Styela clava: one gene and its partners. The protein of the gene in region 4 binds, or shares a complex with, the protein of the main gene of each other region. Links are inferred from orthologs where the notes say so. Each region holds a gene or a part of one and is shown on either strand. Other genes may lie near its edges. The genes, in order: splicing factor 3A subunit 2-like, splicing factor 3B subunit 4-like, splicing factor 3A subunit 3-like and putative ATP-dependent RNA helicase DDX46.

The links.
Region 1: putative ATP-dependent RNA helicase DDX46 (region 4) and splicing factor 3A subunit 2-like share a complex: the UniProt entries of both Homo sapiens proteins name them as parts of the 17S U2 SnRNP complex. The link is inferred for Styela clava from reciprocal best matches to the Homo sapiens genes DDX46 and SF3A2.
Region 2: putative ATP-dependent RNA helicase DDX46 (region 4) and splicing factor 3B subunit 4-like share a complex: the UniProt entries of both Homo sapiens proteins name them as parts of the 17S U2 SnRNP complex. The link is inferred for Styela clava from reciprocal best matches to the Homo sapiens genes DDX46 and SF3B4.
Region 3: putative ATP-dependent RNA helicase DDX46 (region 4) and splicing factor 3A subunit 3-like share a complex: the UniProt entries of both Homo sapiens proteins name them as parts of the 17S U2 SnRNP complex. The link is inferred for Styela clava from reciprocal best matches to the Homo sapiens genes DDX46 and SF3A3.

Annotation. Positions count from the first base shown.
Region 1 is NC_135250.1:29,566,568-29,574,265, reverse strand, and holds the start of splicing factor 3A subunit 2-like, read left to right. Parts: upstream 1-4,474; 5' UTR 4,475-4,579; coding exon 4,580-4,705; intron 4,706-4,991; coding exon 4,992-5,063; intron 5,064-6,431; coding exon 6,432-6,588; intron 6,589-6,954; coding exon 6,955-7,048; intron 7,049-7,698. Other genes in the region: uncharacterized protein LOC120334753, read left to right, coding at 46-125, 659-719, 1,204-1,314, 1,789-2,024. UniProt on the Homo sapiens protein: Component of the 17S U2 SnRNP complex of the spliceosome, a large ribonucleoprotein complex that removes introns from transcribed pre-mRNAs.
Region 2 is NC_135255.1:4,023,963-4,031,347, forward strand, and holds splicing factor 3B subunit 4-like, read left to right. Parts: upstream 1-4,646; 5' UTR 4,647-4,690; coding exon 4,691-5,761; 3' UTR 5,762-6,391; downstream 6,392-7,385. Other genes in the region: translation initiation factor eIF2B subunit beta-like, read left to right, coding at 6,429-6,587, 6,923-7,088. UniProt on the Homo sapiens protein: Component of the 17S U2 SnRNP complex of the spliceosome, a large ribonucleoprotein complex that removes introns from transcribed pre-mRNAs.
Region 3 is NC_135256.1:16,760,344-16,767,373, reverse strand, and holds splicing factor 3A subunit 3-like, read left to right. Parts: upstream 1-4,406; 5' UTR 4,407-4,557; coding exon 4,558-6,066; 3' UTR 6,067-6,258; downstream 6,259-7,030. Other genes in the region: GLIPR1-like protein 1, read left to right, coding at 176-270, 354-495, 948-1,057, 1,559-1,659, 1,788-1,838, 1,980-2,106, 2,227-2,344. UniProt on the Homo sapiens protein: Component of the 17S U2 SnRNP complex of the spliceosome, a large ribonucleoprotein complex that removes introns from transcribed pre-mRNAs.
Region 4 is NC_135256.1:21,745,127-21,753,195, forward strand, and holds the start of putative ATP-dependent RNA helicase DDX46, read right to left. Parts: upstream 3,445-8,069; 5' UTR 3,341-3,444; coding exon 1-3,340. UniProt on the Homo sapiens protein: Component of the 17S U2 SnRNP complex of the spliceosome, a large ribonucleoprotein complex that removes introns from transcribed pre-mRNAs.

The DNA of each region.
Region 1 (7,698 bases), on a different chromosome or scaffold from region 4:
ATGGTCTGGGCTCTTGATTTTGAAACTTTGTTTGTTTTAACTCAGGTAAACTTCAACATGAAGAAATTCTTTCTAAGATGGAAAATGGAATTCTTGTGATAAATACAAAAGGCCAATTGTATCAGGTAAATTAGATTGATCAATTTTATCTTTAATTGCTGTTTGCTTTATACCCATTAATAAAAAACATGTTTAAATACTGGGCATTTGACGTCATCTGCTGCGATATAAAGCAATTTAGGTTAAGATGACATGTTAACTTTATAGTTTATTCGCAGCTCCTCCTCCATTGCAGTTGAAATATTGGGGGCTCCCGAAGTATGCGAACCAAGATGGCGGACATCGGAATGTAATATGTGTACTAGGTCAGGGTTAGGCCATAATTTTAGGTATAAATACTACGGGAGGCTCTTGGCTAGTCTTCGAACTGATAATAGGACTAAAATAAGGAAAATTGAAAAAAAATTATCGTCTAACCCTAACCTGTTACCCATGTTTACGTTCCGATGTCCGCCATCTTGGTTCGCATACTTCGGGAGCACCAAATATTGTATGTCTGTTATTTTTTCTCCCAATTAATTTATTTTTTCTGTTTATTTGGTCAATATTTCATGCTTGACGAAAATTCTTTGCTCCGAATTGAAATTTGAATTTTCAGGTTCGTTTCAAGTTTGGATCTGATGCAGGAGATTTGTCGAATATAAACGGAGGAGAGTCAGGTATGGTAGCAATATTTTTATGGAGAAAGTATATTTATGGATTCATTTTGTTAAATTGTTGTTGAGGTTATTAGTGTTGTTGTTATTGAAAACAAATCGCTCTTCCTGACAAATAATTGTTGTTGTTGTGATTGCTAATATTTTTATTTTTTTGGTTCCTAAATTTCGCTGTTTCTAACGTGTTTCCCCGTCAATATGACAAATTATTTCAATTATCTTTGAATAATAACACTAGGGTTTATTTTGGGAGGATGTCTTTTTTTCATTTATCAAAAACAAAATTACAAAGTGAAGAAGTACGAAATTTTCAAATATACAAAATAAGAAAACCGATATCCTTAAACTTATGAATAACGGAACAAAAAAAAATTGCTCTATTGACTAGGTGGTATTTTAAGGGGAGGGCTTATGTTGAAATAAGCCCATATATTTGAGCATTGCTCTCTTTTTATTATTATTATTGTTATTATGAATCCTTTCACAGGAAAGGGCAAATCTCAAACAAATCCCGCTTTGTTTGGAAGATCATTATCTGTGACTGAAACGATTTCTGAATCTGAACCAGCGGCGAATTTGGCAACACCATTTGGTCCAGGTAAGTCAACAAATTTTGTTCTGCAATTTTTTATGTTAGCTATTTGGTTTATGCAAAGTGACGCTCCATTTTCAAGTATATTATTCATATGTTACGGTTCATTTTAATAATTTACGCCACCAAATGCAACAATGTAATAAAACTAAGATCAGGTAAGTGAACACGTACCACTTCTTCTTGGCAAAACCTTTCATCTTATATTCTGTACGTTTTAAACCTTATCTAAGGTTTTATTTGCGGATTTCATAATCCATTTTTAATCATTTGTTTCAATCATTTTATTGTTATGCTGATTATGGAGTCGAAATAAACTTATACTGCATCTGAATGAATACTATGCCATGGATAGGTGAATTTATTCTGATATCCGCTCGACACAACAAAAAGATAACACACAGGATAGAAATTCAGGAAATTCATAGCTGAAAAAAACTACGGCTTCTCAGAATTTACCACTTGTTATTATTTTCACAGCCTCAAATACCGGTATTCACAGCATTCAAATACCAGCAGGAGTGACCCAAGTGGTGCTGCAACTGGGTGGGGTTGGCCAATTACCGGCAGCCCTTCCAGCTGCGGCCCCAGTTCAGGAGACACGTCAAGGAAGCTTATTTTTAAACCCTGCTAATCCAATCCAGATTAACATGTACGGCGACGGTGAAAATAAAGTCAACATAGATAAGAGCTATATCCGCTCTGTTGAAACATAGATCGAAGTGTCGTATAGTTTTTTTTATCATTGGCCTGTAATCAAAAAAGTAATTTAATTGGAGCATTTTTAAAGTGATTATTTTTAATGAACTTGCGCGCTATGCGCTTTACCCCTGTGACTCCGTTTTTTTAATCTATGATTTAATTTTTGGTTAATTCGTGAAAAATATTCAATATTTATTACACGTTTTACATGCTTATCGTGAAATAAATCTCAAAATAAGGTAGAAACAATTTGAAACTTTATTTTCGGAAACAAGGTGGTTCAGGGTAGTGTATTTCAGAAATTTTTAGGATAGGATAGGATAGGATTTACATATTTATCCCGGGGGGAGAGGAAAGCCGATAAGACGGCTTATCCATATGGCGAACCACGGCCTCTCGTCCGGTTACCATTCCAAGTCGGGTATGGGATTAGTTTTACTGTATTGTTTGTTTTCGGAAGCATGGACTTGGTGGTGGAGGAAGCCGTAACCGACCAGCGGTTACGTGAACCACCCAACGACGGCGAGGAGTCCAGCAATCCTCTCGCACATAACCATCCCTGCAGGGGATTTGAACCTGCGAACCCACGCAGAGTAATTAGAGGTGCGGTGGCGAGCGTATTCCTAACGCTTAGCCCGTTGAGCCACACCGCCGCGCCGTGGGCCGTAGTTTTGTAACTTTTTTGTCCGACCAACGAAAGACAGTCAGAAAATCAGTTATCAGATACAGGCAAACCGCAATCAATCAATTTTATTTCGGTCACTCTGAAAGAAACAAAACAACAACAAACGGACAAACAAAATGCAGAGAACTTGGAGGACGGGTATAACTTAATAAAAAAGTTAAAAACGTACAAGTACGTGCCCGTCCACCAAAAACAGTCAAAAAAACCACAATAAAACAAAATCACGATGTAAAATCGGGCAATACCTTTTAAATCAATTTTAAAATGTGAGACACAACAATCAATCAATCAATCATCATTTATTCGTCAACACAATTTAAACATGGTATGATATATAAAAAAATAATTACAAATACAAGTGGAAACTAACTTAAATTGTGTGACAGGAGTCGCGAGGGACCTCAAGAGGTCTTCAGGCAGCGACACCTAAGTGCTAAGTACAACAGTGCTTTTCTCACAAAAATATGGAATAAAAAACACTCGTTGACGTAAAATGGTGATGCTGTAGTTCAATTTCATTGCAAAAAAAACACAGTGACAAAAAATTGTTACCAAAAAACAAGCTCGTTAAATAGATTGAATGTTCCACAACCGGCCATGCACAAATCATGGATTAGGGTATCGGGTTCCTCTGTCGCCTTCGACCAGTTCTATTTAAAATCATTTCATCCGATCCGACGCCTCCAACATCAATATCGAATGTCCACTCACCACTCAAACGTTAAAGTAGGTGCTTTGTAGGGTTATCAGCATTTGATGCTATTACATTTTCTTAGCACATATAATCAGTGGTGGAATCCAGAGGATTCGTGCGAAGCCGTGATACTCGTGATACTCAACGGCCATCTGTTGTTAGTGGTTTCCATATCAGAGAGAGCCCGTTTTTATATTTATGAATCGTTGCAAATAAACCAACTATCAGTAACAGCAAATTGGGGTTGAATGGTCTTTTATGACTCTACTTTCAAAGTAATTCCTGCTTCTGGGAGTAGAAAGGAAAATGATCATTGTAAATTTATACTGTTAGCTACGCGAGAAAGATATAGTCAGTAATCAGTATGTTAAGTTTATAGTAGATTCTTGCCAAAATAACCAAATTATGCTTGAACGTTAATAACTTGTAAATTATAAATAGATATTTAAATTTCCGTCTTGTTTCTAAAGAGGTTTTAGAGAGCGAGTCGCTTGATGAGCAGGTTCTTTTCTCCTTAGACTATTTTGATTGTCGTGTTTTGCGGACCACAAGGCGCACTTCAACTTAAATTCCTTTTCTCAACAAAAAAAAATTGATCGTGCGCCTTATAAGCCGGTACGTCTAATCGGAAATATATACTACTACAGTCTAATTTATGAATAAAATAATCTAATCACCTTTGATGTATTATTTCCAGTGTGGTTGAATCCTATGTTTGTAGAAAAGTGATTAGATTGGGGATTGTTGTCCTATCGGCTTTCGTCTTCTCCTGGACAAATATTAAATTAAATTTCACCCTTTATTGCAATCAATGGTATTTATCGTATAACAAAGTTATGTCGAATATGGGAATAGTAAATCAGGTATTCGTTCTAAATGCATGGACGCTGAAACACAAGAACACACAGATTGCAGCAAATGATTAAATTATCAAGAATTTTTAATTAGAAAAAAACTTTTTCCCAAGTCTTACAAATATTTGTGAAAAGTCATATGCCACAAAAATCTTTTCATCTATCTCCTAAATCTGGCAAGCGTCGTTTTCGATTCAATTTCATCATGTTTACGTTCCATGCCGCCATCGGGTCTATCGTCGGCGCTCTCGTTTGTGTTCTGCCTCACCGTACCGTGAATCTGTCTTTGGTGTTTCGTATTCAGAATACAGAAAATACACGGTGAAATAAAAGATAATGGACTTTCAACACAGAGCCGGTGGTAAGACAGGTGGAGGTGGTGTGGCCTCGTTCTCTGATGCAAATAGAGATCGCAGAGAAAGGTTGAGACAGTTGGCCTTGGAAACGATTGACTTGAATAAGGTAAATTTCTTATTGTTTCATTTCGTTTTTGAGTATTGAAACCCTGTCGAGTTTATGTGTCTATGATTATCTATATAGGTAATATATATCCCGTACTTTTGCATATTCTGACTTTTGAGATAAATAAACATAATGCCTAATAACTAAAACAATGAAGATAATTCAGTAATTTATTACTCCATTAATGCACTATTGTTTTACAAACAACATGGTCTTATCTTTCTATCAAGGCAGTAAGGAGTCAATTTTGAAAGTGCTGCTATACCAAAGGTATTTTGTTTTTCAGGATCCATATTTTATGAAAAATCATCTTGGCTCGTACGAATGTAAACTTTGTTTAACACTGCACAACAATGAGGTGAGTGATATATTACATATGATTGATTTTGTTATTCCAGTTTTGCACAATCACCAGATCTTTCGTACAAAGCGCTCGCCAATAATGCAAAAATATGACATTTTAGAAAACACCTCTGTCATATTTCAGTATTTCTAAATAACGAATAGTGATTATCCAATTGAGGGTTGAGGTTAGGAAAGATTATTTGAATTTCCAGTGCCATCTGCATTCCTAGCCCTCACTTGAACTGGATAATTAATCCTTTTTATTTTGAGCGTTGCTGGGGGCTTTGTACAAATGAGCTGAATTACGGTAACTATGTGTAACACCACGTTGTTGTTTTCTGATATCTCCCAGCCCTTCAGGTCTCAAGGCAATAAATGTTTTCTCGACTCTCGATTCAAGAATAATTCTCTCTACACTTTGATATTTCAAAATTTGGGATGCTTATTTATCAAGTGTTTTGGAGAGTCGACGTTTATAAACATTTTCAAACCCATCATTTTTATCATAATACAGCCTACAACAATACGCTTACAGATACTTGCAGCTAGTTTTAGCCTAGTCTATAGCAGCTTACCTTGGCACTGATATTTGATTATTGTGACTAAACTAAAGCTCAACGAAAAACATTGACAAATGAAATATACCGTATATGCTTGTTTTACCGCCCGATCTTGAATAAGGGCCCGTATGAATAGCTGCCCGTGTGAACAGAACATAAAAATAAATAAGGGCTGGTGCTTGAATACCCGCTCGATGTAAAAGCTGATTTTTCAGTGGTAGAGAACAATAGGAAATAGAAGCGCTTTTGTCACAACGCTGTTGAATTTTAAGTGCCTGTGTCGCAAAACTTCCTCTTTTGTGGATTTGTACCTGCGGTGCGTAGAAAAAGTCAAAATTCTCGTTATTCTCGTTCAAATCATACTTGAGAAATGGAAATAACAATATATTAATTATTGTAACGATCAAAAATAACAAGCGCCCGTGCTTGAATAGGGGCCGGTTTGAATAGGGGCCCGGTTAGTGAGTTGGTTGAAAAAAATGTGGGCCCGGGCTACAAAACGAGCAAATACTGTACTTTATTTATAACTAATTTTTGGAAACACAACTAAAACCTGACAAAAAACTTGAGTGCCGCGAAAGCGAGGCAATGTTTAAAACCATGCCTGAGTATCTGTTTGGGCAAACAAAGTGCCTGAGTGGCTGCAAAAACTACAATTGTTACGTCATCGTTGACGTTTTGCTAAATGATCATTGTTACGGAAATAAACAAGGAAATCATTGCTCAGCAAACTTTCATTTGTAATTACTGCTACATATTGTGTTGCCATAATTCTGCACATCTCATTACCTGCCTCAATTTTGAAAATTTCCTCTTTCCAGGGAAGTTATCTTGCACATACTCAAGGTAAAAAACATCAAGCAAATCTGGCAAAAAGAGCAGCAAGGGATGCAAAGGAAGCCCCAGCTCAACCTGCTCCAGCCAAACCCACCATTGAAGTCAAAAAGTTTGTTAAAATCGGACGGCCTGGGTATAAAGGTAATTAATTAATAAAGAAATCTGAATAGTTTAATGATCAAGAACGGGGGTAATCTGGAGGAAAGTTCCTCTCCTCAATTGACGTACAATTAAGACATTTTTGAATATACGATGGTTTCAGAATTGCATCGAATATTTTTTCCGAATCGAATAGAATGTTAAATACTTGTAATACTAATCTAACGTAGTTGTATTGACTGTTTTACACTGATGGGTCTTTCAGACACATATTTAGGGGAAATACGTGATCTATCACTCAGATTGTTCGCTGAGTGTTCACACACAGTAAGTAACATTCTTCATCAATAACTCAACTTCAACTACTTGATTATTATTTAATTAATGTTGCATTCTTTTTTTTTTCAGTGACAAAGCAAAGAGTGCCCGATACTGGACAACAAAGTTTATTATTCCAGGTCGATTATCCTGAGATCGTTGATATAATCATACCAAAACACAGGTATGAGCTTCTGTCTGCAAATTAATTTTAATTGTTGTACACAGTGGCGTAGCCAGGGGGGGTGGTTCTGCGGGTTGAACCCCCTCCCACCCCCTTTGAAATGTAAAAAAAAATATCATTTTTCTGTATCATAGATAGCAACTATTCGTATCATAAAATGCTTTTTAGACCCCAAGACTAATAAAAATACGCGTATTCCAGCGTTCGATCGGACCCGCTAGCTGTTTCGGTCTAACTTGGCAAATAAAAATTTCAGCCCCCTTTAACCCCCCTTTGAAAATTTCTGGTTACTCCCCTGGTTGTGCATGAAGTGGGACTATGTGTCGTTGTTACAAATTTTCGATAATCAGTAATTTAAAAATTGCCTTTTATCAATTTAAAGGATTACCGGTAATTGTTTTAAAATTCTCAGCACTCAAAGGTGGAATAAGTAACTAGGAGGGTATTATCATAATATGGGAAGTGATATTTTCCCTGAATTTTGCTGTTTCATTTAAATAAAGGGATATGCTTTTTATTCAATCGGGTTTGCTCCTTTGCATATTCCATCAAACAGTTAACTCACAGTCGACACTGCTAACGGTTTGCAGCTGATACATGCTGATATTTGAGCATTGTCCTCTTGCATTTTGACTATGAATATTCTATAT
Region 2 (7,385 bases), on a different chromosome or scaffold from region 4:
AATCATATCATGTCAAAATAGAACAAATAGTAAGGATTTTTATTGAATACTCAATATTTCTATAATAATTTTCAAACTGAAAGCTTCAATTAGTGTTCACTCATACACTTCCTTTGTGAAGTTGTGTTTTTAATGTTTTATCTCCCTAATAAATTTAAATTCAAATTTAATTCTCCAATTACTGATGGAGAAAGATCTATAATCGAGAGTTTAATACGGCTTCTGTGACATTAAAAACAATTACTGTTTTACGTTTTTATATATTTGCAACTTTTTGAATAACGCAAAAAAATTCGTTGGCTGACTACCGGCGTGTTGAATATTGAAGGATTTTTATTGTAACATTCGTTTAACGATGCTTTTAAGCCTAACTTTGGGCATATCAGCTACCTGATGTCATTCGCCGAGCGAATTTTGTTTAGGTGACATTGCCATCTCGTATTTACCATCCTGTAGCCATTCTTCTTATTTAGGAACTACGTGTTTTACAGTTAGCTGTTACAGCATGAAATAATGTACACATAATTCTACGTAAACTATCCATGAAATCCATTCCATAAACTATCCATGAAAAGATATTACAGTCAGATCTTCAGGTTGTAAAAAATATTATACAACAGCAACAGCAAGTGATCGAATATCTTTATTATAGCCGTGGTTGAACACCGCTGGTTGTCAATATAGATTTTGCACAGGCTTTTATACATTTTGTGAACGGTAAATTATGTTCTATTAGGGGATAATGTGACTTGGATACGTATTATAAAAGATTCTCTGCGACATAAGTCAATTGTTTCTGTTATGTAGTTTATATGAAGTCGTAGGCCAAATTACATTATTAAAATCGTCGTCCGATAACAATTAAAACTGGAATTTTGAACTAATATTGCCAGAAGACAAATTAGGTTGTTTATAACGATGCGATTGTTACTACCTGGGTAATATATTACGTCGAAATGTTTATAACAAATTAGAAGAAGTTTTGAATCAATTTCAAGGGTTCCGAACATTACTATAAAGATGTCGTCTGAATAACTAATATTCCCTACAGATCTGTCAAATTTCAACCCGTATTTAAATAATACATATGTCATACTTTTGAATTAATAAAAATAAACAACACAATGTCATTCAAACTTTACAATATTCAAATAGTTTTGCAAAAGCGTGATTGGTTTAATTAAATACCGATTTCCGGATGTAAATACTGATGATAAAAGTTTAATTCCATTTATGCTAAGGGGAGCTCTCATACAAACATTGACTTTTCCAAAATAATGCAATAGGGAAACAACATATGAAAAAAAAATAAAAATTATAGAGATATGGCAACTACCATTGACAAAACCAAAAAATCAGGCACTTTTTAAACTTGCCACATTCCTACCAGTGATAGATCTTCTAGTTTTGGACAATAAAAATACCAAATTCAGTCATACAAAATATGTATATTTGGATTTTCGGATTTAAAGTAATCAAAAACATCGGGAAATAGTTTTTTACAAAGTGCCTGAAATTTCACAAGTGCCTGATTTTAGTATTTTGTGCTTGCGGTTGTCAGATTTTATCATTCCTATTAAATTTCAAATAAATCCAAAAAGTACGATGGTTATCTATATGTTGTCAAATGATATTGCTCATTGCATTATTAAAAACGCTGAAATTGTTGTAGAACTAGGAATTTCCTTTAAAAAGCAATGATTAGTAAGTTCTGACTCAAATAATTTAGAAAAATTGTTGCGAAAATATATGGCAACTGTTATCGAAAAAAATAAAAAATCAGGCACTTGCGAAATTTGACCCCTCATCACCAGTCCCAATCGTTTTTGATTTTTACCAAAAAGACGTCATTTCAATCATACAAAAGAGTGTGTATTTTAGTTTTCTGCTTCAAAGTAAGTAAAAACATTGAGAAATAGATTTTTACAAAGTGCCTGAAATTTCACAAGTGCCTGGTTTTAGTATTTTGTGCTTGAGGTTGCCAAATTTTATCATTCATATTCAATTTCAAATAAATCCAGAAAGTACGATGGTTGACCATATGTTGTCAAATGGTATTGCTCATTGCAATATTAAAAACGCTCAAAATGTTGTGAAACAATGAATTTGCGTTAGAAAGCAAAGTATAGTAAGTGCTGATGCAAAGTATTTAGAAAAATTGTTGCGAAAATATATGGCAACTGTTATCGAAAACAATGAAAAATCAGGCACTTGCGAAATTTGACCCCTCATCACCAGTCCCAATCGTTTTTGTTTTTTACCAAAAAGACGTCATTTCAATCATACAAAAGAGTGTATATTTTAGTTTTCTGCTTCAAAGTAAGTAAAAACACCGAGAAATTGGTTTTTATCAAGTGCCTGAAATTTCACTAGTGCCTGGTTTTAGTATTTGTGCTTGTGGTTGCCAGATTTTATCATTCATAATCAATTTTAAATAAATCCAGAAAGTACGATGGTTGACCATATATTGTCAAATGGTATTGCTCATTGCATTATTAAAAACGCTCAAATTGTTGTGGAACAATGAATTTGCGTTAGAAAGCAAAGAATAGTAAGTGCTGACGCAAATAATTGCTAAAAACAATGGCAACTGTCACCAAGAAAAATGAAAAATCAGGCACTTGCGAAATATGACACGTCTCCATCAGTCACAAACGGTATTGTATTTTACCAAAATATTGTAAATTCAACCATACAAAGTGTATATATTTAATTTTCTGCTTTAGAGTAATCAGATACATTGTAAACTAGGTTTTGACCAAGTGCCTGAAATTTCACAAGTGCCTGATTTCTATATTTTGTAATCAATGTTGCCACATTTTACTATTGAAGAATTATTTATACCCTAATAAATTGGAAATAATATTGTTTTATTGCAATATAGGGATGCAAAAAATTATTTAAAGTCTAATTATCTTGTCAGGTAAATTGGAAACCCCAATGACGTACGGTAAAAATAAAAAATATCAAAGTGCCTGAAATGGTGCCTGAAAAAGTGCCTGAATTCGCAAGTGCCTGGTTTTAGCTACAGGAGTGGTGACTCCTCTACGGCCCATGGGCCGGGGCCACGGCCCATCTAATTGGGCCACATGGGCCGTGGCCCATCAAGCTATGGGCCGCGGCCCCATCAGGAAAATTTCAATTATCTTACCAAAATTTTCAATTTTTACAAAACTGTCAATATTCGAACAAAAAAATATACTCCTGTAGTATGTGTACCAGGTTAGGGTTAGGACAAAAAAAAATTCAGATTTTTTACATTATAGTTCTATTATGAGTTCGGGGACTGTCTGTGTTAGCCAAGTGAATAGTCCCTTTACACAACTTGATGGGCCGCGGCCCATAGCCTGATGGGCCGAGGCCCAATTCGATGGGCCGTGGCCCCGGCCCATGGGCCGCAGAGGAGTCACCACTTCCACTCGGTTTTAGGGAGACCCGATAATTTATAAACGTTTAAAAATTGTCAGGAGGTGAAAACACAAGGCGAATTTCCATCAGCTCTGTTAAGCCCAGTAAAGTTTAACATTTAGCCTACTTTGGTTAACCAAATAAACTACATCTGAAGGCGGCATAAATAACATGAGATATTATGATTCAAAACTAATGAAAAATTAAATAGAAAACCATCGTAACATTGATTATTCCATTGATAAACAAACAAAGATTTTGGGTCTGTAACTTTTCATGCGATTTGAAAACCTTCTAGATATGTCCTACACTTTCTGCAGTTTAATATTTCAATTAGCCAAGATACAATTTTGCCTTATTTTCAACTAATTTGTGGAATTACTGTACTGTAGTGGTGATACTGATATTCAGATATTGTAGTTATTAGCCCATCTGTCAAATAATATTATTATATACATGATTCCGTTGTTAACAAATTTAAAATATTTTTCACCAATGTTTATGCATCTAGAATTCTGAAATGATCACCATTCTTAGCACATTTCCATATGCAATTTTGTGTTTTTTAACTGTTGAGCAGTAGGCTATCACTCCCATCTAATATTTTCCAAATTCAAATATAACTTTATTCTAATTCAAAAACTGTTTTTAATTAGCAGGATTAGCCCCCAGTTATAACCACTACTTTCCCAGGTTTGTAATAAATTTAGTATGTGGAATCGGCGAGATTCTGGTTCTTTCAAAAGTAGCGTCTTGAGTATCATCTTTGAAGTGGAGTTTTAAAAAAAGTTTTATGTCATTGTATTCTGCATTGGTCCTATTTATGATTTTTTGTGTTAGGATTCAACTTACCTATGTTGCGAGTATTAAAAAGTATACGCCATAAGTGCTTAAATAACGCCAAACAAAAATGTGATGTGAAAGTACAGAAGTAAATGATGTAACTGCTAACATAACGCCAAACAAAATTTATTTTCATGAAACAACAGTCAGTCTCGAAGAATTCTATACACTATTTGCTGATTTTGCAAGGGACATACCTGCTTAGTTTAAGATTGTGTGTGTTTAATTTTAACTAAACACGTCTATGGGCAACTTCATTGCGCACATCACATTTCTGTTTGGGGTTATTTAATCAGCTTCACTTTTTTGTTTCGTGTGATTTAAGGAGTTACGGCGTTTACTTCGCTGGACCCTATTTTGCCATGTCATAATGTTTCAATTGCTTATGTAATAACAGATAGTTAATTATAATACTATAAATTTTTAAGAATATAGGCCAATGGCGGCAGGTCCTATTTCTGAACGCAATCAAGATGCGACTGTTTATGTCGGCGGACTGGATGATAAAGTAGCAGAGCCTTTGCTGTGGGAATTATTTTTACAAGCAGGTCCTGTCGTCAGCACACATATGCCAAAAGATCGCATTACAGGAGCACATCAGGGGTATGGGTTTGTTGAATTTCTTGGTGAAGATGATGCTGATTATTCAATTAAAATTTTGAACATGATAAAACTTTTTGGCAAACCTATTCGAGTTAACAAAGCTTCTTCTCATCAGAAGAATTTAGATGTTGGTGCAAATCTTTTCATTGGAAATTTAGATCCAGAAATTGATGAAAAATTATTATATGATACCTTTAGTGCCTTTGGTGTCATTCTACAGACCCCTAAAATTATGCGTGATCCAGATACAGGAAATTCGAAGGGATTTGCTTTTATTAACTTTGCCAGCTTTGAAGCATCTGATGCAGCTTTGGAAGCTATGAATGGACAATATTTATGTAATAGGGCTATCACAATTTCGTACGCATTTAAAAAGGATTCTAAAGGTGAGCGTCATGGCAGTGCAGCTGAAAGATTACTGGCAGTTCAGAATCCTCTTTCTCAGGCAGACAGACCACACACAATGTTTGCAGATGCTCCTGTTATCCCACAGCCTGGTAAAGTAAATTCAATTATGGGTAATGCACCAATGCCAATGGGAATGCCACCTCCACCACCAGGTCCACCAAGCATGATGCCTGGTATGCCTCCAATGCCACCTATGGGTATGGCTCCTATGCCTCCTCCTCCAATGCCACCAGGTGGCCTTTCGCAACCTATGGATGGTATGAATTCACAAATGAATATGCCAATGCCTCCATGGGGACCACCACCCCCTATGGGAATGGGCGGACCGCATGGCATGATGGGCGGCCCACCTCGCGGCCCCCCAATGGGTCCTCCTGCTCCATGGGGTGCTCAAGGTCATTTTCCTCCCATGCCACCTCCCGGTGGACATCTTCCCGGGCCACCTATGCGTGGCCCACCACCGCCTCCAAACATGGATGGAGCAAGATGGAACGAATAACTGGAATCATCACTACCAGAAAAAGGAAATCAATCAAGTTGATATCTTTTGAAGACATTGAAGGATGGGAGATGAACAGTACATTTACATTCCATATTAATTTATGGCTGTAATATAGGCAAACCACAGGGTGGATAAATATATTGTTGTATATTGATTGTCTCGATGACAAATATGTTCATCCCAGTTTGCAAACCTGAAGATGTTCCATCTAAACAAAATTTTGTTCTTGTATCACTATACATGAACACTTTTGCAAAGCCAAATCTCTTAATAAGAATAGTTATGTATTATCTGACTCTGATTGATATTCAAGCCAACTTATCGGTATGCGCCTTGCTTTTTACTTTATGAATATTGTCCCATGAAAATAAGTTTGAAATTGAACAGATTGAAGTGAAGTGAAAATATCTTATGACTTTTTAGTTTGTGGATGCCAAGTGTTTATATTGTTATTGTGTGCATATCACAAGTTATACCATAAACATGCACCTAATTGCTAAGACAGATTTGTAATATTATTTTGGTCTTCTTGGAGGTTGTTTATGCTGTCTTTCAAGAAATCTTTCTTCTCAACTGTTTGAATCATACTATTGAGCCATTTCTTATGTGGAAATAATCTTTTTTAGATTGTAATCATAGTGTTATTGCCTAATTTTTACTTAAAATGGCAACTCTAGTGATGGATCAGTTTTTGATGGATTTAAAACAGGATCGCTTCAAATCGTCTTATGAAACTGTATGTAAAACCATAAATTATCTACGCCATGTAATAAGTGCTGCAAGATTCAGCCATGCAAAAGATTTGATGAAAACTATTCAACAGGTGATTAATTTTTATCAGTATTAGGTTTGTAAGAAATTGTGTTTACAGTGAAAGATATTACACAATTTGATCTTGTATTTTTCAAATTTGTTTATTTTCTATTCAATGTTTTACCACTGATGGAAAACCCAACCAATTTTGAATTCTTATTGGAAATTTGGTACTTTCTATTTTGTGCATTCCTAGTAGCAACAATAACATTTCCCCATTACAATGATACTGTGGTAAACTGCAAAAATGCTATTGCGCAAATATAATAATTGAAAAGAGTGTGAAATGCAAGTTGTTATAACGATAAGAGGAAGATACACAAGTATTTCTAATGATTTTCATAGGAGGGGAAAAAAATTATTGCTCTGCAACCGTCTGCTTATGTTGTTGGTAATATGGTTAGAAGAGTCCTCAAAATAATTCGTGAAGAATATGCCAGATTACGAGGATTATCAGAAGAATCGGCGGGAAAGGAATCTCTTCATCGCATGCTAACGACGTCTGCCTCAGGTTTGTCAAATCAAATCCTCACAATCGAGCAATGTCAAATACATACATCAAAGTACTGAAATTGTTAATCACCGGTTCTCAAACTGCAGTTCACAAACCCTGAAAATTTATAGAGGGTTATGTAGATGGCAGTTGAGTTTTATGCATTATTACATTTTAATGTGGAGCATGACTTATACATTGTCTGTTCAATGCTATTATTTGCAACAAACAGACACAGCCTTCACACTAATGTTTAGGATAAAGTGTTTAAAATGAACATGTTTTTAATATCCTTTGTAATACAATTCGAAATTG
Region 3 (7,030 bases), about 5.0 Mb from region 4:
AGAAACCGTGATTTATATTATGAAAATGACTACTGTATAAATAATCATTGATTAATTGATCCATGATATAATGTAACTGGCTCGTACTGTTTATAAATATGTAAACATATTATGGATTCATTAATTTTATCTTACGTGTAAATAATTTATGTTAATACATTTCATATATATTTAGACTTGGGACAGTGAACTTGCATACTTGGCTCAGGAATATTGCAAACAATGTCACTTTGGTCACAATAAAAATAGGAAACATTCGCGAGGATGGAGGTACGACATGGCTATTTTTTTTACCAAAGTTACGTTATATATATATATTTTATTTCCACTAATAATGGAATGCATACATTTAGCGTCGGTGAAAACATACATGCTTCAAGTGGAACAATAAAAAACGTAGAAAATTCAGTGCAATCATGGTTTAGTGAAATTAGCTATTTTGATTACAACTCAAAAACTTGTCAATCAGGAAAAATGTGCGGACATTACACTCAGGTATCGTATGAAAACATTGTAACGTGATTAAAAACTCTCGAATTAAAATACTGCAAATAGAAAAGAATAACTACTCGTTGTCGTCCTCTCGCCAGGCATATTTGGTGCGATAATAATGTTGCTATATTCATCTTTAAAATGGAAGATATGCAAATGCATTACGTATTACGGATAACGGAATCCTAAAATTCGCTTTGACTCATATAGATGAAGTCACCATTTGAGACGAATCAGACATGACTAAATTGGGTACACATCCACTTTGGAAATAGAACAGGCTACGCAACACGTGAAAATGATTGCTCCACCATTATTTTTCGGAGATTAGCGTTAGCCAACTAATACGTTCACATCATTATAACTTTTGAATTACGTACTTGAAAATGGACTGTCATACAAAAATACGTGGTTCTTATTCCAGCACTTAATTATTGTATATCCTATTTCAATAGGTTGTCTGGGCCAAGACGTTCAAAGTCGGATGTGCAATGGTTTCATGCAAAACTTTATCTGGAGTAGACTGGGGATCTGGCACTATGTTTTTGTGCAATTATGCGACCGCGTAAGTTTTGTTACCAAATAGTTAAATGGTTAAATGACAGATTCATTTGCTTCAGCTGTGAAGTTATACATTCCAGTAATTTGCACAGTAAGCCAGTCGCTCGCTTAATGGGTATATTGTAACATGAGCATCTTTATCTTATGTGTAAATTAAATGTTCATATTTTTGTTAAAGATGGACAAGTTTCACTATTCTCAATGCTAGATATCCACAAGAATATAATTTTTTGTGAGAAGTGTAAAACATTTTCAATGCAAAACATCTAATAAAACAATATGTTGCCTTCTGAGATCAGCTGTGTACTGATTGCTATTCTGTAACAACTTAAAAAGTTCTGCATCGAGTTTTTCCTGACTTTTAGGGAAAAAAATCATTTTTGTTATAAACCTCAAAATCGATCAATATATTCCAAAATTAATATCGATCATTTTTCAAAGGTATGGCCCAACTAACCACTCTTGCTTTTGACCATAAACTAACTAACTCCTACGTTTCATACAGGGGAAATGTATATATGTCTGGTAAAATGATGTCCGTGTTTGAAAAAGGAACTGCATGCTCCAAGTGTGGAGAAAAGGACTACTGCAGAAATCAACTGTGTGGTACGTGAATATGTTTTGTTCTTGGTTGAAATTTCATGTTTAAGCTTTAAATGTCATACGTGGCATGATTGCGGTGCGATTTCATTTATTCCCATATTAAACAACTTCTACTAATTTATATTTTTCAGCCAACAGCGAAAGAGACTTCATTACCAATTCAGCTGATGAAAGTGTACCAAGTAATGGTGATATTTTGTATAGGCTAATATTGTCCAAATCCAAACTCAACAGAATAAAGCAACCGAGGTTAAAGTAACCAATTAAAAACCATTGGTATAGTATGCCTACATTCAAAACAAAAATATATTTTTCTATTACAGCTTCTTCTAATAGCGCTGGATCCACTGCGGCTATCGTGATTCTTGTATTGCTATTGTTAGCTCTACTTGGATTTGTTATCTTTCGTGAGAAAAACAATATTTCAGACAAGTTTAATACCTGGAAAAGGTAAAAATGTCATAAATAATACTGAAACCTATATGAATATTTTTTAAGCCTTTATCGTTCGAAGCAATTAAAAACATTGGACTTCACTAATATTTTTTACAGAATTACATATTTATTTAGAGGCAACAAAAGCAACGTACCGCATCGTCCCAACGCTGGATCAGGTGAAGCAAGAGCAAACGATGCTTATGTTCAAGATAAAACACGGCCACCTGTTCCTCCTCCAACGTACCGTTAGATACACATAATTACCTTAAACTATCAGAATAGTTTTCAAAATATATAATATTTGAGCTCTAAAATATTTTCATTATATATATAATAACTCAGTATTTTATTTAAATTCGATGCCTTCAATCTGGACTTCAATTTATTTTACTAAAATCGTAATTTTGAGATCATAGTTAAACGAAACAAATTTTATTTATTTATCTGTTTAATATGTACTAATCTCTAATTATCAATAATTATGTTGTGGAACAAGCTTATACTATTTCTATTAAAGGCCGACTCAATTATTTATTCTCATAATCAACTACTGTTTATTTTACCGGAATTTATTATAACAAATAGAATTAATATTTATAAAAATTCAACCAAAATCGATTTTATTATTATGATATTTTGTAAACTTTTTTTTTACATATTATCAACTGAAAGATGGTATTATTCAGTGGTTGGATTCAGGATGTTCGCACGGGTTCGCGCGAATCGAACCTGGTCATGTTTTCCAGGGCTATAAGTTTGTCACGATTTTCAAAATGATAGAATCTGTTATTAACGCATCCAATACAAGAGAGAACCCATTTTTAACATTTTGAATCCAATCAGTATCATCAACCATGCATAAACATCACTAAATTAGGACTAGACTGCTTAGATTATTATTCTGTTATGGGCTAAATGAAATTCTAACATTCTAATCCAAAACCTGGCTGGAAAGTCTAGCTGTAACACAGGATGGGAGATGAAGTAAGCTGGTGTAAATTGGAACAGTTATACAACACCGGTTAGATTGGCCGGAACATCGGGAAAATATACAATACATTTACTAATGGGTTGCTGAAGAAATGTATGTTTTCTTTACGAATTGATTTGATTGGTCGAAATGGCTGGTATTGACCATCTTACTAGATTTATGAAACAACCGAGTCGAAAACTATTAAAATCATTTCACTATTATATCGTACAAAATAGTGAGATCTTTCTTTTCTTTTTATACGGATATATTAAATAAAATATAACTACTAAATCGTCAATTTATTGTATATTACCAATGATTAAATAAATGCAGTGTCATTCTCAGTTCTGTATTCTTCTAAATAATATTGCATTGCATTTAGAGTTCCACAAAGATTGATATATATAGCCCAGGGGTTTCCAAACTTTATTGACCGCGAGCCAAAATTTGAATCGGAAGGATGTACGCGGGCCGGAAGTATGTAGTGTCCCGGAAGTATGCGAGGGTTTAGCTGGGGTTCAGTGGATTCACGTTTGACATTTTTCGAAACATGTTTGTTTGACTCATAATGGCGCTTCATGTGGTATTGTTTCAGAATTGGAATAGTTCGTTGGCAAAGTGGACAAATCTCTGAAGCGTGATTCTTTTCAATAAAGAAACACGAACGATGCTATTCATCCGAGGAAAGTCTGTTTTCAGAGTCTAGTTTATTATTTGGCATCTCTAACCTTTCTTCTATGACTGATAACTAAATTACTACCCTATGTAATCCTAATACCGGTACGTATAACTGAGATATCGGCATAATCGAATTGTTACCATGAACACGAGCTTAAAATGGGATAACGACATAACAATTGGCGGTTTCTAGGTTGTAAAAAGGTTAAAACAAAATCTATGTCAATATTTCACTTAAGCTCGGCGGGCCGCGGTTTGGGAACCCCTGATATAGCCCAATAGAATTCAGTGGTTTTAGATATATATCTGGCATGGAAACAAGTACATATGTAAAACTGTGAATAAAATAGAGGCAATTGAAGTCTTTATAATGCCCACTTTTCGTTACGAGATAAGGTTTAAAATTACCTATACCTGGATCACCAATCATCTGTACAATACTGCCGAAAGTGGCAGTATAACTGTATGATTCGACATTCACATTATTATGCAATTTTCAAGCAAACATTTAATTTTAAATTTTATTGTTAAGTAGAAACTTATTTAAAATATTAACGAATGAATGTAAATTCGTTCAACGGTTATTGTTTGATAATTCACGCCATAATATAAATGGAAACAAATATAACACGAAAAATCTGGCATCACTAACAAACTACTCATATTGAAAAGCACTACGACCCTTCAGTTCACTCTGCGAAGCTAGCAGCAGATTTTCGAATTCGACTGGCTTGCTGTGTTTGTGTAACGTTATACCTATCGGGACGTTCGCTGTTGCTGATTTATATGGTCCTGGTTTTTCGTTATCTGCGATGGAGACCACGTTAGAACAACAGCGTAGGCTGCATGAAGAAAAAGAGCGTTTATATGATGCTATGACAAAGGAAAGCATGCATAAGAAATCAGCGGTTCGTGAACAAATCAACTCAGACCACAGAATGAGGCATCTGCTAGATCGTGTTATGGACAATTCAGTTAGATTACAGGAGCTGTACGAAGACAAGGACGGTTTAAGAAAAGCTGAAATACAAGCAATTGCGGGTCCAAATGAATTTGGTGAGTTTTATAAACGGTTACGGGAAATCAAAGATTTTCACAAAAAACATCCAAATGAAGTGTTTGTTCCCATGTCTATGGAATTTGAAGAGTTGAATCAAGCGAGAGAAAATGCAAGCGATGAAGCAACAATACTTGTTGAATTTACTGATGAAGAGTCCTATGGTCGCTTTTTAGATTTACATGAATCACACTTGCGTTATATTAACATAAAAGGCATTGAAAAACTAACTTATGTTAGATATTTAGATGCATTTGATCGCTTGTTTGAAATTCCACGAGATAGGAAAAATACTCAATATCATGACTACATTGATGGTTTATTGCAGTATCTTGTATCGTTTGTTGAACGCATTAAACCTTTACTCGACTTGAATGTCGAGCATGATGAGGTTTTGAAAAAGTTTGAATTGCAATGGGAAACAAATGAATTTCCTGGCTGGGGTAAAGAGGCTGGAAGTGCGATGGCTCATTCTGGAGCTCATCTTGATCTAAGTGCTTTCACATCAGCAGAAGAACTTGCATCATTAGGTCTTGATAGGTTGAAGTCTGCGCTGATGGCATTGAGTCTGAAGTGTGGTGGAACTTTAGAGCAAAGAGCTGAAAGATTGTTCAGCACGAAAGGAAAAACGATGGATGAAATTGAAACATCATTGTATTCTAAAAGTAAAATTAAAGCTGGAAAGAAGGATTTAACATCTCAACGCAATAAAGAAACTGCCATGGTAGAGGCACAAATATATCACCTAGTTGAGCTTGTTAGTGAACAAAGGGCTGCCACAAGGGATAATGTACAACGTCGACAAGCACGTACTGATACAGAGCGTGATGAAGATGAGGATGATGTTATGTCTGATAGTGATTCAGGAGATGATGAGGATGAAGTGATTTATAATCCCAAGAATCTTCCTCTTGGCTGGGATGGCAAACCGATCCCTTACTGGCTTTATAAACTCCATGGTCTTAATATCAACTACAGCTGTGAGATTTGCGGAAATCAAACTTACAGAGGACCAAAGGCATTTCAACGACATTTTGCTGAATGGCGTCATGCACATGGGATGCGTTGCCTTGGTATTCCTAACACTGCCCATTTTGCCAATGTTACAAAAATTGAAGATGCGATGGCGTTGTGGTCAAAAATTAAAGAAATGAAAAATGCAGAGAGATGGAATCCAGACCAAGAAGAGGAATATGAAGACTCTGCTGGAAATGTTGTCTCAAAAAAGACATACGAGGACCTGAAAAGACAAGGCTTATTATGAGCATTTGTGTTGTTTATCAACTTTAGGAAATGCGAAAGAGCTCGTGGACTTAAACTCAATCAACCTGTGTTCTTACAGGAGTAGCATTAAGAAATAAACTTGAACATTCTTGAATCATCAGAAATATTTTTTATATATTTGCATTCGATAGAACTCTCTGGATTGGTATAAATACACTGGTATTGTCAGGTACTTTGACTGAATTGATATCACTTTACATGCCAATATTCTTGATGAATTCCACTTATCATTGCGAACTCAACAATGTACACATGGAGAGATTTAAAAAATATTTTTCGCTCACCATGAAATGAAAGGCTGTTACCATGTTCTTTCTGAATATCAGCAAATTGATATTGGGTAATTTAATGAGCATTGAATTGGTGATAGCCAAAATATAATATTGTTAAGAAAGGATGGGATTAGTTGTAATTTATCGCCGTTGAGATATGACATTGGTTTTAGTTGACACGTTCATTGATGCTAGCTTGTTGTCATTCATGTTTGTAAGTATCTTCCTCATTGGCCCATTGTCAGTTCTAATGTTAAGGGCTTTTTAGCCCTAATTTCAAAAGATGCCTGATGAAGTTATTAGCAAATGAAGCTTTTATTGTTGCTATGTCAGAAATTTGTAAATTCTATCATAGAAGAAATAGACCCAACAAAACTGTACAATCAGTTCTGCACAAAAAAAAACGCAGTTAGTATGGATAAGGGGAAAATCATTTTCTTACTACTTCTAATTTCATGTTCTGGGGTACTGATTGATAATGGTGGTGAGAAAAATATTCCATTTATCTGCTCCATAACACACTACTGTGTTCATACCATACTTTTAGGTAATTTCTGATAAATGTTCTGTTTCAAAACTGTCAAATGAAATACCACTTGCATTCATTCCTTTTTTCAATTGCCAGTACCAACTGAGTTTGGTTTATAATCAATATGCTTCATAGTTGGTAGT
Region 4 (8,069 bases):
TGGCTTCAATGGCCAAATATAATTTTCTTTCATCTTCTTCCGGAGTTTTACCACTTGGAAGATATTGTCCACGAATTGTTATTCCAGCTTCGCTGTACTCACTAATCTGCCCCAATGTATCTTTAGAAGTTACTTTCCACCTACAAGTCTGTGGGAAATCATTTATCTCCAGCTCCTCTTCATAACGCTTGACAGTTGATCCAGAATCAGCTTCTTCATCTTCCGGTTTCTCTTGTGGCACATAATTTAGTTTCTGATTCAATTTTTCAGCTAGTTGTTCTGCAATTGTCTTCGCACTCACTTTGGGAGCTTGAAATCGACCACCTTTCATAATTGCTGTAGCAGCCTGTTGTGTAACATCTTGTGCCTCAGCACCTAAGTTTTTCTTTAGATTGATTCTTGATGCGAGTCGTCTCGCAATTTCCAACTTCTCTATGTTAGATCCAGAAAGAGGTCCTCCAGGTTGAGCGGATTCTCCTCCTGCCCCATGAAGTAGAACAGGACCAACAACATCCTTGACTCTCTTTTTACTATTGAACATGTTTTCGATTTGTTCGTCAATATCTTTCACTGGAGATTCATCATCAGAATCATGCATTCCAAGAGCGGTTTTCTGGAACTGTTTCCGTTCTCTGACAAGCTCATCTTCAGTTTCATCAAATTTAAAACCTTTTCCGGTAAAACCACTATTTTTTGAAACTTCTTTACCTTGTGATTTAAGATCTGTCTTATAATTTAACCACAAAGTTTCTAATTGAGGAGGTACGGGAGCACCACTGAGCTCAAGTGCTTTGATAATATCACCAGCATGACGTGCCTGTTCTTTTATTATGAAAGTGAAAGCGAACCCTTTGTTTCCAGCACGACCTGTCCTGCCACATCTATGAACATAATCTTCATAATGATTCGGGCAGTCATAGTTAACAACCAAGATGAGATTTTTTACATCAAGACCTCTTGCTGCTACGGAGGTTGCAATCAATAATCTTGAAACACCATTTTTGAAGTCACTGATAACAGAGTCCCTGTCATATTGATCAATACCACCATGTAATGCCATACAAGGGTATGAGCTATCCATAAGATCTTTTAATAATGAATCAGCATGTTCTTGCTTATCAACAAATACCAAAACCGATCCCTGTTCTTGGTAGGAACCTAATAGTTCAAGGAGCTTTAAAAATTTTTGTTCTCTGTTTAGAATAACAACAGTTTGTGCAACATCTGAACATACAACACTCCTACCTCCTACTTGTACCTCGATAGGTTTTGCCAATATTCTGCGAGCGAGAGCTTCCATCTGTCGAGGGAAAGTTGCTGAAAACATGACAGTTTGTCTCTCTGGTCTTGCAGAATTAATAATAAACATAACTTGAGGTTCAAAACCCATGTCAAACATTCTATCAGCTTCATCAAGAACCATATAAGTACATCTTCTCATGTTGGTTACTCGTCCACTGTTGGCAGCAAGCATATCAATCATTCGACCGGGAGTGCATATTATGATTTCAGCACCTCGCTTGAGCTCTGCTATCTGTTCAGAGATACCAGTACCTCCATACACACATACAGCATTGAGATGAAGGGGTTTGGTGAACTTTTTGCATTCTTTAGTAATTTGCAAAGCGAGTTCTCTTGTAGGAGTCATGATAACAGCTATTGGTCCTTCTCCATCTAGCAAAGGACGTTGATCCATGATATGCCGGAACATCGGTAGAAGAAAAGCCAATGTTTTGCCACTACCAGTTTTTGCAATCCCAATTAAGTCATGTCCACTCATAATAGCTGGCAATGCTTGGGATTGAATGGCCGTTGGTTTCTCAAACTTAGCCTTTTTAAGAGCATTCAGAACTTTAAATGAAACTCCAACTTGAGCCCAACTTTTAATGGGTTTTGGACAATTCTTTCCTCTGACTTTAACATTTTCAAGTTCCATTCTTCTTTCAGCAACTTCTTCTTCTGTCAATGCAGCAAGTTCAGGAACTTCAACATAGAAACTTTTCCGAAAAGGTTCATATTTTATTTTAGTATGATCAATTACGGTATCCAGTTTTCGATTCCGCTGTTTGCTTTGAAATTTATTAAATGCACTGGATAGTGACTCCTCTTCCTCCTCGGAAGAATATTCCATGGCATCAACATCAGCCTCCATCAATTCTCCTTTCCGTTTTTCAGGTCTGATTTCAATTTCATTTTTGCTTTTTGCTACGGCAACCACTCTGCTAATCTTAGGGCCATCTGTATTCTCCGTCATGGAGGCATTCTTCTTGTACACACTATCACTCTGCGATTCAAGATTCATCATGAATGCATCAAGAGGGTCAACTTCATCCTCTGCCTCCTCTATAGACATGTCCTTTTCATTCGATATTTCATTGGTTTCTTCTTCCATCTTTTCATCCTTTTCTTCTCTATCTGCAGTTTCTTCATTTAAATCATTATCTGCAGTTTCTTCATTTAAATCATCGTCATCATCATCTTCTAAAGTCCAGGTCTTCCTAGGTCCACTATCATCGCCATTAGCACTTTCACTATCGCCATCACCTGCTTTCAAAAGTGCAGATTTTTGTTCTTTGCGCCACATTTCTACTCTATCTCGGCGCTTCTTCATTTCCTCTTCCAATTTTGCTTGCTCAAAGTCACCAGTGTTGAGTTCTTTTGTTTTTTCCGCCTCTTTTTTGTCTGATGAAGATTTAGTAGTCTCTTTCTCTTTAGAACTTTGCCTGGAATGTCGTGAAGGTTTCTTTGACCTTGAATCTCTATTACGTGAACGTGATCTACGTCTTTCTCGAGATGATCGTCTTCTTTTGTCTCGTGACCTTGATCTTCGAGATCGACGATCCCTCGATTTCTCACCTCTCTCTTTCGATCTCCTTTCTTTATTAGTCGACTTTGTTACCGTTGAAGTTTCTGCTTTGGCCTCGGGTGGCTTTTTCTCAGATTTATCAGCTTTTTCAGCATTCGATTCACCATCACTACTGCTACTACTGGAACTCGAACTTTGCTTCCGCCTACGACTAGAGTCAGACTTTTTATCCCGTCTTTCCCTTGACCTTCTTGAAGATGACTTTTTTCCTTTGCTCCTTGACCTGGATCTCGATTTTGATCGACGGGATCGATATGAGCGTCCATGTCGTCTTCTATGACTCGGACTTTCCCTGCGATATTTTCCTCCTTTTCGTGAACTTCTATCCCGAGAATTAGATCGTGATCTAGATCGCTTACGACCATCTTTGCGTTCTTTTTTTGCTGTTTTTTCGATGCTGCTTTTCTCTTCCTTAATTTTAATCTTCAGTTCATCTGTTACATTGTCCAAAACAGATTCGGAATTATCCGACATTGTATCTGTTTTGATGCACTTATAACCTGTAAGCTATTGTTATATGTTTATTTAATTTTGACGACACCCCAAACAGCTTCTAACCTGAAAAAGAAAATAATACAATAATTCAGATGTTCGATGATTAATCATTAATGATATGTAATCATGCGCCAACACTGAGAGATGCAGCAGTTTTTTAAATTTCACGCAAGGCATCAAGGTGTATTTGGTTCTTACAGTTTTATTCGAATTATCAACAATGTAAGGTCTGGAGGTTGGGATTAGAGGTTTCAAAATACTGCTGTAATGTGGGCTTTAACCAAAAAGAGTTCTTGAAAGAGCTGTTTTGAGAAAATGATCAGAATATATATTTTTGAATTCAAACACCTGTAGCTGTAGATTAAGTGTACGGTAACTTTTTCTTGACATACCGTAGTCTAAAGAATTTTGCTTATGGTTACACAATTGCTATGAACCTTTATGGTAGTTCTTTGTGATATTTCAGTGTAAATAGGCTATAACTACGTTTATTTTTAAATACAGACAAAATTTTAAACAATTCCAACATCCGCCCTTTTGTCCTAATCACAGAAACGAGCACTGTGCAATAAGCTGGTATGGGAATGCAAGAATTCGGAAATGGTTAATCGCTAGGGCTGGGAATTTGGTGCATGTGCACTAAACGCCGTAAGCACTTCTAGCTAGTGTGGCACAAACATTTTTGTAAATGATTCCTAACCCCTCCTTGACTACGTCATCCAAAAAGTTATGTCACTACGATGTCACAATCACATCATAGAGCTTGCCAAAGAAAAGCTATGATCGCCCAAAATGGCATATCTGCCGACGATAACGAACTCGCTAGTCTCATTCACTCATGTCTGGATCGTTACGAGAAAATAGCTTTCTTGATTTTGGGGAATGGCAGAATGGTTATACCAATAACCAAAATGACTATAACACAAGTGAGGACATGCATTGGTATGGTAACGTTATAGTCACTTTGGGTTATACCACCCTAACTAGAGGTACTTGACGGCGTTTAGTGAACTAGTCCCGGCAATTTCAGGAAAAAAATTTTAACCATTAACCGCAGCGTGACATTTGACGTAATAAGTTGAAATTTTAGCTTGTTACGTCACGATGGTTACAAAGCAATTCGCGATCTTATCCCGGTATCGCTCGAAATTACTCATAAACCGAGATAGTTTTTATGATCGCTCTGCTGCGAGATTCAGACATATGGTATATCGGGTATTTTAGTAAAGCCTGATTTCGTTATCAAATGTCATTCATGTGACAAATTATCAGTGTTCAATGTGCAAATTCTACTTTAAATATCTTTAAGAAAAACTGCATCAACTGAGCTTTTGTTGGATGACATTCAATAGACGCTTGTGCAATAAAATCGTGAAGAATATATTTCGACCGAAAACTGATTCTGAATTTATGATTGTCAAATTTCCATAATCAGCAATAATGGTACCTCAATTATTTGGGTCTAGTATAGTTTAGTACCACAAGTACTTCCAGTGGGCGTAGCATAACGAATTTTGGGTCTCGTGTAGTTTGGTACCTAACGTACTTCTAGTGGACGTAGCATAACAATTTTTTGATATGTCAATCCTAACCCATCTGATTACGCCATCCAAAAATTACGTCACTACGACATCACAATCACGTCATAGAGCTTGCCAAATATACATGCGATCGCTCGAAATGGCATTGACGCCTACGATAAAGAACTGGCTGACGTTATCGATCTCTCTCCTATCGGAATCGTTGCGACGAGAAAACGAGAGAAATAACTGTTCGATTTCGGGTGCTCGTTTGCGCGTCTTGGATGGCAGTTCGTATAGTTTGAAGGGCTCTATTACTTCACTATGGTGTCTCATAATGCCGTAATTTTTGGATGGTGTAGTCAGGTGGGGGTTAGGATGGCTATGTGAAAAAATTGTCATGCTACGCCCACTAGAAGTATGTTAGGTAAGAAACTACACGAAACCCCGAATTTCGCATATGTTATTCCTAACACCAACCTGACTATGCCATCCGAAAATTACGTCACTACGACGTCACCATCAGTCCATCACGTCATAGGTCTTTCCAAAGTATGATTACGATCGCCCGAAATGGCATCTGCGCCGCCGATAACGAACTCGCTAACGCCGACGATTTCTCTCCTATCGTGATCGTTGTGACGAAAAACGAGAGAATATGTTAGCCATCATGGAATGATGTTGTTCGAAAAGCACAAATATAAAGTGCTATAGTTGCCTACAGACAGGCTTGAAATAGCTGCAAATACAAAGCATGACTAGTAGTGAACACAACAAAATAGATTAGGGCAGTGTGTCTGGAAAAAATACAAAATAGCTATATACAATGGAACCATTTGCCAAAACAATATTCATACAACTACCAATACTGGTAAGCAACATTAAGATGTAAAATAATTTATCAAAACAGTAAAAGCAGGTTCAATTACACACTCACACAATGAAATACCTATGAGCAAAAATAAATAAGTGACAAAAATAAAGTTAAAATATGCTTGTGTCCTAAGTGCCACATAATCCAAGTAAAGTGGTTGAAAATGTGATTAAAAATATATAAATTATTGGCAGTCAAAAGAAAAAAAAAATACCACCAAATAATATCTACTGAGTACAGGAGTAAGGATATAGCTCATAATAATAAAAAAAAATGAGTTATATTAATTTGAAATATTAGTGAGCAATATGTATGCATTGCCTAATTGTAAAACATTGTTCAGTGCTAGGTAGGACATCACTTGTTTGAAATCAAGAAATCCAACATGAATACTTGAGCCTTTGAAATAAGATGACTTTTGTGGCACGCGTGCAATTGAAGAATTTGTGATTGTCTTTAAAATTGTAACCCCATGCCAGCAAAGAGCTGCATAAAGTGAACCCTCTTTAACTTTGATATTGGATATTCTGAAGTGTTGATTTATTTTATGCCATTCTTCATTGTTTTGGACGATGCTGCAAGGTACCGGTACCAGTATGGTATTCACTTTCCAGCTTTCTATAATTTAATCGGGACGGGCATAAATATCTTAATTAAACTTGGACAGCAAATAATCCTTTTCGATTGTCGCTAGTGTCAGTTTTCCGCCATCTAAATCAATGCATTACGATTCAGCAATACCGTACGGCAACAAGTTTTTCCCACACTCCAACAAAAATAACCAACAATATTGTCAACAAATAGCAATAATAATAAACCGGTATTCTTTCTATTTGCTTGATTTTACCTCTGACTACTGGAGGGTCTTACTACTTACTGAATACAGCGCGAAACACCGCAAAGAGCGCAAAACAGCGCGAAACAGCGCAAAAGAGCGCGAAACAGCGCAAAATAGCGCATAACAGCGCAAAACAGAGGAAAACAGCGCGAAACAGAAGGAAACCAGCGCAAAACAGAAGGAAACAGCGCAAAACAGGAGACGCAGTCATTACCACCTCCTGCCACGAAAGAACCACGGCGCCTCTCGCCATGGTTTCATGGCGCTATTTCCGGTATATTTACAAGGTTATGTACCGGATTATAGGTCATCATGCGAAATTTTATCTACCTTTTTGGTGCTCCAGAAGTATGTGCAGCAATATGTCGCACAACCTGAATGCGCTACACACACACACACACATACTATTTTCAGGTTGTGCGCCATCTTGGTGCACATACTTCTGGAGGTCCCTTTTTACCTAACCCTAACCCTAAAGCCAACCATATCCACATGGAAATTGTTCTAAATTATGGTACCCAAAATGTGTCACCAGCGGGGGCAGTCCTGCCATTACAGCATTACTGGCTACATACGTTGGTTTGTGTTTTTAATTTGCTGCCGTGGTAATCGAACTCAAAACAAGGTGCCCCGAACTCATTGCAAAATTTTTTTCTGCTTCACACTGTTTCCCTCTGTTTTGCGCTCTTTCGCGCTGTTTTGCGCTGTTTCCCCACTATTTTGCGCTGTTTCCCTCTGTTTCGCGCTATTTTGCGCTCTTTTGCGGTGTTTCGCGCTCTTTGCGGTGTTTCGCGCTGTATTCAGTAAGTAGTAAGACCGCTACTGGGTTACGTAAATCTACAAGTTTTAGGATTCTCACTACTGCATTACAGACACAGTCAGTAGTACAGACCAAAGATACCCAGTACGGTACCGGTATAAAGATGATTTGTACCGGAGATGTCAGTTAAAATAAATCGTAACCGTTAACTATCTAAAATCGGTTAACCGATTAACCATTCCCAGCAGATCAGTTCCTGTAACAGTGTAACGGCAGAACGGATTAATTTAGTAGCCTACGGTCAGACGGTACCCATAGCCTACCTACAGTTACCGCGATCCTTCATGAAATCTATGGTACCGGTACTGCATACGGTACCGGTATATCTGTATGCTGGTATGTAAGTTATTTCCTATCGTAGTTCGGTATGGTCTGTCTAAAAAAAAGTTCGTAGCTGCACACATCGCAGGTACGAAAGCTTTCAAAAATGGGAGATATGGTAGATTTTATGTGTGTCTGCATTTCTACGCACGACGTTCGATCGTCACATGTACATCAATGCCAGATTAAAATCGTATGACGCCGGTCACATAAAAATAAATTATATAATCTGAAGAATGTCCCATCACTAATTAATTAATAACTCGCTAATTATACGACATAATTCATCCAAAATCAATAGGATTCTGGTCCAATATATGATGAATGCAAAATTG